2 linked regions of the Canis lupus familiaris genome follow. The protein of the gene in region 1 interacts with the protein of each later gene in a biochemical or structural test. Links are inferred from orthologs where the notes say so. Each region holds a gene or a part of one and is shown in the gene's direction. Other genes may lie near its edges.

The links.
Region 2: the proteins of CHML (region 1) and RAB1A form a complex in vitro, tested with the Homo sapiens proteins (2 studies listed by BioGRID). The link is inferred for Canis lupus familiaris from reciprocal best matches to the Homo sapiens genes CHML and RAB1A.

The regions. Positions count from the first base shown.
Region 1 is NC_049228.1:32,967,093-32,971,146, reverse strand, and holds CHML (rab proteins geranylgeranyltransferase component A 2), read left to right. Parts: upstream 1-1,254; 5' UTR 1,255-1,283; coding exon 1,284-3,239; 3' UTR 3,240-4,022; downstream 4,023-4,054. UniProt on the Homo sapiens protein: Substrate-binding subunit (component A) of the Rab geranylgeranyltransferase (GGTase) complex. Binds unprenylated Rab proteins and presents the substrate peptide to the catalytic component B.
Region 2 is NC_049231.1:65,878,057-65,882,326, reverse strand, and holds the start of RAB1A (ras-related protein Rab-1A), read left to right. Parts: upstream 1-1,470; 5' UTR 1,471-1,619; coding exon 1,620-1,642; intron 1,643-4,270. UniProt on the Homo sapiens protein: The small GTPases Rab are key regulators of intracellular membrane trafficking, from the formation of transport vesicles to their fusion with membranes.

The DNA.
Region 1 (4,054 bases):
GACCAGTATTATGCCAGAAGTTAACAGGAGAGCCTTTCTACACTGCTACCTCCTATCCCTTCAAAAAACAGCAAAGAACGTGTTAATCTTAGCAGAGGATGTTGAGACAGGCCTTTATCTTGGGATACAGAGATTCAAGGTCATAGAGCCAGAGTCTGGCAAAATGCAAGTCACCCTATGTTCTCTTGGATTTTTTTTTTCTCTTGGATTTTAGAAGTAGGTATTTTTTATGTTAAGATATTTTAATTTACAAAGGTAGGAATTTTCTGTTTTAACTTAAACCTAAAAAAAATACATGTGCATATGTACATTCATATGAAGATTTGTTAAAAATGCCTATTTTCCTTCAGTAGACCTGTTTGCACCTAAATATCTCGAAATGCCAGTTGTTTTAATGAATTAATCCTTTTGCAATAATCTGGCTGGTTAATTCAGTTGAAATGGTCTCATGATGCTACCACGAGATCCTAAGGGTGGTTGTGGCATGGAAATATCTTTCATTCAACTGTTCTAAAATCACCCACAGGCTAAATTGGCTGCAGAAATATTCCTCATCATGACAATGTGCACATAGTATGTAGTCTGTTTCCATAAACACGGCGGAACCACACATTTCTTACAGTCTAAGCTCACAGTTCTGTATAGTTTGTTCAAATATTTTATTAAAAGCAAAAGTTACAGAATTATATTATGGAAATCCTTTGCTTAATGGGACATCATGATGTCCCTTCCTCATTATTGCGTGTTTTTGGGGGTAAATCTCTTTTGTCCATTTTTGAGAAATTAGAAAATATGTAAGAAAGCATTTAATGACTTGCTTTCCTAGAGGCTTATGTCTTGATAACAAGTCAGACTCCAATGGAGTAATTGTAATTGCTGTTGCATGAAATTATTTTTCTCTTAATATTGTTTACAACTGTATTCTTTCTTGAATTTTCTTCTTTCAGAGAAGAGTTCCAGTCACAAATGCATGTGTGATGCATTTTGACATTTACTGCTAAGATGAAATGCAGGAATGAAAACCACACATCCGTTTTAGTGTTCTCAGATGTGATTAGATATACCTTACCTATTTTTATGCTACTGACTTATAAGGAAAACAATATTAAGAAAGGGTAACTGTTAAACAGTTAGGACCTGCAACCTCAGGACTTCTGGGATGAACTGGAGTATCACAAGGAGAGATTTTATTACAGCATATTCACACCTCCGCTGAGCCCTCAGCCTTGACTCACATACATTTCTTTTATCGACGGTTGTCACCAGACCCTTTATCTCCCAGAATGGCGGACAGTCTTCCCACAGAGTTCGATGTGGTCATAATAGGGACAGGTCTACCTGAATCCATCCTGGCAGCTGCATGTTCAAGAAGTGGTCAGAGAGTTCTTCATCTTGATTCAAGAAGTTACTATGGAGGAAACTGGGCAAGTTTCAGCTTTTCGGGATTGCTCTCCTGGTTAAAGGAGCATCAGCAAAACGGTGACAATGCAGAAGAAAGCACTGCTTCATGGCAAGGCCTGGTGCATGAAACAGAAGAAGCCATTGCTCTTCGCAAGAAGGATGAAACCATTGAACACATAGAAGTTTTCTGTTATGCCAGTCAGGATATGGATGACAATATTGAAGAGATCAGTGCTCTGCAGAAAAATCCTTCCGCAGTAACATCTAAACCTCTGGATTCTGTGTGCTTGTCCGAAGAAACAAACTCATTACATGTTACTAGCTCTGAAACGCATGCCAAAGACACTCCAAAAAGTGATGAAGAGATTTCACTGGAAGTAACTGATGTAGAGGACATCTTGGCAGAAGAAAAATGTTGTGGAGATAAAACCTGTATAAACACAGCTTCAGGTGGAGATAAAGATGAAAACAAACCTATAGAGGAAGATAACACTGATCAACCAAAGAGAAATAGGATTACTTACTCTCAAATAGTTAAAGAAGGCAGGAGATTTAATATTGATTTGGTATCAAAGCTGCTGTATTCTCAAGGATTGCTAATCGATCTTTTAATCAAATCAAATGTTAGTCGTTATGCAGAATTTAAAAACGTCACTAGGATTCTTGCATTTCGCGAGGGAAAAGTAGAACAGGTGCCTTGTTCCAGAGCAGATGTCTTTAATAGCAAAGAACTCACTATGGTTGAAAAGAGGATACTGATGAAATTTCTTACATTTTGTTTAGACTATGAACAACATCCTGATCAATACCAAGCTTTTGTGCATTGCTCATTTTCAGATTACTTAAAAACTAAAAAATTAACCCCCAACCTCCAACATTTTGTGCTGCACTCAATTGCAATGACAGAGTCCTCTTGCACCACAATAGATGGCCTTAAAGCAACTAAAAACTTCCTTCGGTGTCTTGGACGGTTTGGCAACACTCCCTTTTTATTTCCCTTGTATGGCCAAGGAGAAATTCCCCAGTGTTTCTGCAGGATGTGTGCAGTTTTTGGTGGAATCTATTGTCTTCGCCATAAAGTTCAATGCCTTATAGTTGACAAAGAATCTGGAAGATGTAAAGCAATTATAGATCACTTAGATCAAAGAATAAATGCTAAATATTTTATTGTGGAGGATAGTTACCTTTCTGAGGAAACATGCTCAAATGTGCAATATAAGCAGATCTCCAGGGCAGTGCTCATTACAGATCAGTCTATACTCAAGAAGGCAGATTCAGATCAGCAAATTTCCATTTTGATAGTGCCTCCAATGGAATCAGGAACATGTGCTGTTCGTGTCACTGAATTATGTTCTTCAACCATGACATGCATGAAAGACACCTATCTGGTACATCTGACCTGTTCATCTTCTAAAACAGCAAGAGAAGACTTAGAGTCAGTAGTGAAGAAATTATTCACCCCATATACTGAAACAGAAATAGACAAGGAAGAACTCACAAAGCCAAGACTCTTGTGGGCTCTTTATTTTAATATGAGAGATTCCTCGGGAATCAGCAGAAGCTCATACAATGGCTTACCTTCCAATGTTTATGTCTGCTCTGGGCCTGACTGCGGACTGGGAAATGAGCACGCAGTCAAGCAAGCTGAAACACTTTTCCAGGAGATCTTTCCCAATGAAGACTTCTGCCCCCCACCTCCAAATCCAGAAGATATAATCTTTGATGGTGATGATAAGCAACCTGAGGCTCTTGGAACCAATAATATAATCATGGCCAAACCAGACTCCTCTGAGGAAAATAAAAACCCAGAAAGCCCAGAGAACCACCTTCAAAACTAGAAAGGAGCAAGCTGGAAATGCTCTTTTGGGCCTTCATCCTGACATCAGAATATTTTCATTTAAAGAACCATTTCCTATGTGATTAATAAGAATTGGTTATATGATGAATGCTATGCAGATGTTGTCTTTACTTCTATTTGAGACATTCAGTCACGGGATCTTGTTAACTTATCAGCAACTGATTGATTGATTATTGGACAAGGTTAGCTCTATTTTAGTATTGAGTATATAAGTGTGGGTTCCAAATTAGCAACTGTGCGTACTGGGAGGTAATACATGTCTGCTAATGATCTTCAGATTTATTAGTCTATAAAAACAATAATATCTAAGGAATAGTTTAGTTATTTTTGTAATTATTACAGTTGCTACCATGTCTGAATAGTTAAACACACAGAATAAATTATGTGGGTCTTTTGTATATAATACAAATGTACAGACATGGTGGTAGCAATAGCAACTTATGCAAGTGCCAAGTGTTAAAAGATTAGCTTTGCATGATCCTTTATTTGTGAAGGTGTAGTGTTTACAACACATTGTGCAGTTCAGTTCCCCTACTTGACCCTTACAAGCAGCAGGGCAGTGACACCACCAGTCTTCTGTATTACAAAAAGTGTTGGACAGTTCATCTAGTCATTGAAGAGCTCATTCTTGGAAAGTTTGTCCCAAAGGAAATCTAAGGGTAAGGTTAGTTCTGGTTTAATACTTCAGAAAATTCCTGCAGAGCCTTGTGCTGGCACCTAAAAGAAAAGAACTTCCAACAACTAATTCAGGTCAAGAGAAAAAAAAAAAAAAAAAAATATATATATATATATATA
Region 2 (4,270 bases), on another chromosome or scaffold:
GATGAGGTTGTCAGCTAAGGCGCAGGGTAGAATTTGGGGGTTAAGGAGCACATCGTTTAGTAAAGCGGGGAATCATCGCTCCCTTCTTTCCATATTTTGGTGTCATGAGAATTTAAAGTGCTTTTGCAACCGCTTGCAGAGGAGGCAATTTTCTTGGTTCTTAGCGCAAGTTGGAAGATAAACTTTGGACAACCTATTACACTATGCCCTCTGCAGTTAGACAACCCAAGATAATGTGTTAAAGTTTACTGGAGGTTTAAATTCCTGAGCTGATTAAAAGAAGAGTTACGACTATCAATCGGGTCTCAGAAATGTTGTGAATGCCGTTCCCGGAGTCTCTAGGCACCGTGCAGCGATGCGTTAGTTGCACCTTCCCCTCGCTTATCATTCTTCAGTCTTGCAGAGCAGCTCCGCCTTGAGTAGCTAAAATTACAGTTCGGCTTGAAGCCTGGGACCAGGGCGGGAAGACCCTGAATTTCGGGCCGACTCTGGGCTGCACCGCGGCCACGGAGAGGCGCGGCCCCCGCAAAACGGTGGTGGGCTCGGGATGCAGCGCGGTTTCGGGGAGATAATCCGGCTGCGTCGGCCAGCGGCGGGGGCAGAGAGGAGGCCGAGGCTCCCGTCGTCGCCGGGCCGGGTGGTCGGAGCCGGGCTGCACGGGGAGCCGGGGGGCAATGCGACCAAGGAGACGGCACCGTGTGCGGCCAGCGCGGGACCGTGGCCCTGCACGGGGACCTGACCCAGCGGGGCCGGCCGGCTGGGGAACACCACCGAGCTCCGCGCTCTCCGGACCCCCGAGGTTCCCAGTAGGGGCCCCTCAATTCCTCCTCCGTCCTGGGACCAGCTGGGAGCTCGAGCTCTCAGCAAAGCACTGGCCAGGCGCGACCTGCAGCCCGCATTTCCCCCGCGGCCCCGCCCTCCAGCGCCCCGCGGTCGCCGCTGCACCCCCCCCCCCCCCCCGCAGCGCCCGCAGCCCCCGCCCCCGCCCCATCCTCTGTCCGCGGCCGGCGCCGCCCTCCGTCCCTCCCCTCCCCCTCCCCCCTTGGGGCGCCGACGCGCCCTGCTGCCACGTCTCACTGATGACATCACCGGGGCCGCTCGGGCTTAGCCAATCCGCTAGGGGGAGTCCGAGCGAAGTCCTAAGCCAGCGAGTCAGCGGGGCGGGGAGCAGGGAGGGGCAAGACGGGGGGGGGCGGTGAGCGAGTGGGGCATGGGGCGGGCGACAAGCGCTCGAGTGCGCCTGCGCCGGAGGCGCGGGGCTTGGCGGGAAGCTGAGTCGCGGCGGCCGCGCCGCCCCGTAGGCCTTCGGCGCCCGCCGCCGCGTTGGAACTCTCTTTCCCGGCGTGCCGCGCGGTGCGGCCGCCCTCCGGGCCGTGTAAAGACCCCTCGGTCTAAGGCTTTCCTATTTCCTGGTTCGCCGGCGGCCATTTTGGGTGGAAGCGATCGCTGAGTGGCGGCGGCTGCTGATTGTGTTCTAAGGGGACGGAGCAGGGGAAGACGTTTGCTCTCCCGGAACAGCCCGTTCTCGTTCCCGTCCCTCGATTACCCGTGGCGTCGAGAGTCGGGGCGGCGGCTGCGGCAGCAAGGGCGGCGGTGGCGGCGGCGGCGGCTGCAGTGACATGTCCAGCATGAATCCCGAATAGTGAGTGCAGGAGAGCACCGGTCGGCTGGGGCCGTGGGGCAGCCCGGAAAAGCCTAAGGGGGGGAGGCGAGGAGGGCTGAGGCAGAGGCGGGGGCCTCGGCCAGGGCGGGCGGACGGTGGTAGGGCCGGAGATGCCGGGAGCCGGGGCCCATTGTCTGACGGAAGAGGGATCGGCCCGGGGGGGGGGGGCGTCAGGGGGGCCGGGGGGGCCGACGGGGGGGCGCCCGGGCAGGTTGGAGGCCTTGAATGCCGGGCCAGGGCGGAGGAACAGTCTTCGGAGGGGGGGGTGGGGCGGTGGGAAGGGGTAGCTTCACGCCCAGGCAGTGACTTTGGAAGGAAGACTTGTTTTTAGGGTGGGAGGGCTGCCCTAGAGGGCCCTGTCGGGGCCGGCGCCCGCGCCCGCCGAGCTGTCAGAACCGTCGCGGTGGGAAGCCAGCCCCACTTGCAAATCTTGAGCTCGTTGGCTCCGTCCTTTCACCCCTCCCCGGCCAGGTTGCAGGTAACACGGATGCTTTTCAGGACTGCGTGGGATGGAGCGGGGAAATGAGTAGAAGGGGAGAACAGATTTTAAATTTTTAGTGGAGGGGGGGTTTAGGTTATTTCCTGGAGTTTTTTTTGTTTTTGTTTTTTTTCCGAGAAGTCACGACGGGGCCCATTGCCTCCCTAAAAACCTAAGCATTTGTGAGATTTCCTTTTTTTCTTTTTTTTAGAGGGCACTGAAGTCATTTGGTCTTGTGTAAGGTCGAGGAAAAGAATAAAGAGAACTAAGACGTAGGAACGTTTTTTTCTTTTCTTTTTTCTGATACTATCAGATTAAAGGAAGACTGCTGTCAAATTGAAAGAGAGAACGAAGGGGCTCTCTATGTAATCCGTAGGTTTTGGATTACCTGCTTGAATACTCGAAGATAGGGAGTGAGGTTCCATGACGTGTCATGAAAAGTTAATGCATTTCTTTTTCTTGCTCACTCAAGAAGTCCCCGCAGCATATGTGACACACCTGGCACCTTTCCTGGGAACTGGTGTTCACCTTCCTTGGGAAGACTTCGTTGGGTTCTCCTTCATGGCCCTTTAAATTCCTCCTTGGGTTTACCTATATAAATTAACGAATAATTGGCAGACATTTAATTGGTATTCCCCTTCAGCGTCAGAAGGCTTGGGGGGGGGGGGAGGAATTTTTTTTTTTTAAAGGAAAAAATTGGTATTTTAAAAGCTGTGAATGTATTTGCAGCTTTGGTCATTTACTGCTAAACATTTCCCCTAAAGGTCCACCCATCAGTTTAGCTGACTGTCATGTGTGTGTCACATGGCTCTTGCAAAATGCATTCTGACTTCCAAGTTTTGTAATAACAGTGGTTTGAAGCAGAAATGTCCCCTTTTGCACTAAACAGAAGCCGTGGTATTTCACTAAAATTTTATGTTCTTGCAGAAGTTGAGGCTGGTGTTCTCATGGTGCCACATTTGGCCACGGCGGCAGTTTTTAGTTTCTTTATCAAGGGCTCCGAGGACAAAGTGGGTTTTGCATAGTTAGGGAGAATGGAACTTGAGGTACCTAATCTGGTGGTTTTCCTGGCAACAATAAAGTACATGGATCTACCACTTTACGGAGACTTGTAAACCTCCTCTGTTCAGGGAGTTTCTTATATTTGCTAAGTATGTCAAGTAGCATAAGTAGATCTTTACGATTAGTTGGACAGAGCCATGACACATTAGCCTCTGAATTTGTTTCCCCTTTTGTAAAATAGGATAATAGGAGTCATTATTCGTATCAGGGTAGTTGTGAGATTTAAGTGCATGTAAAAGAAAACATAAGAGGACTCTAGGTGGTGTTATGTCATTACCATGTACGGCATCGTAATAGTGCTGGGATTTAGGAATACAATCCTTACCCTCAAGGAGTTTATAATGGAGTATAGAAAACCGTTATATATGTCAAATACCAGTAGATCTAGTTTGTTCCAAATTTACAGGATGGATAGGAGCAACAAGATTTCAAAGGAGGGTGAAGGATTGTGGTTGGCTAGTTGGTTTCAGGAAAATTTTATAGAAAAGAGAATCCTAAGAGAATTATTAACAGATTTAGAGAAGCACTAGGGAGTGAGGAGGATTTTTCAAGGGGGAAGAAGGAAGAATGGTTAATAAATGGCAGTGATAGTAATTCTTCAGTAAATACCGTGCCAAACATCCATTAAATTAATGACGTTAACAGAATCAAACCCAGAAATTATACTTTTTTGCCACCGAGTATATGCCAGTATCAGGTCTACTGTATTTGTATTCTAGACTAGTAACATAGGAGTTTGGAAAAACCTTTGGAAGAGCACTAGTGAGAGGAGGTGATGGGTATTTTATTAGAGGAGGTCACAAGGGCAACCAGCAGGCAGATTTTTAATAATGTGACTTCAGCAGGTTTTTTTTTTTTTTTTGTCTTTAATGAAGTTTGTTACCATCAAAAAGTAATTAGTGGAAAATAGAAGAAAGAAGGAAAGAAATTCTTAGTTTAATTACTGAATACAAGTCCATTTACTTTTAATACCTTGTTCTAAACTTTAAAACCTTGTATTTTTTCTTAAATTAAAACTTTTAGTGGGTGAGTGCCTTTCATAATTCCATGATGTTGTCTTAATACCT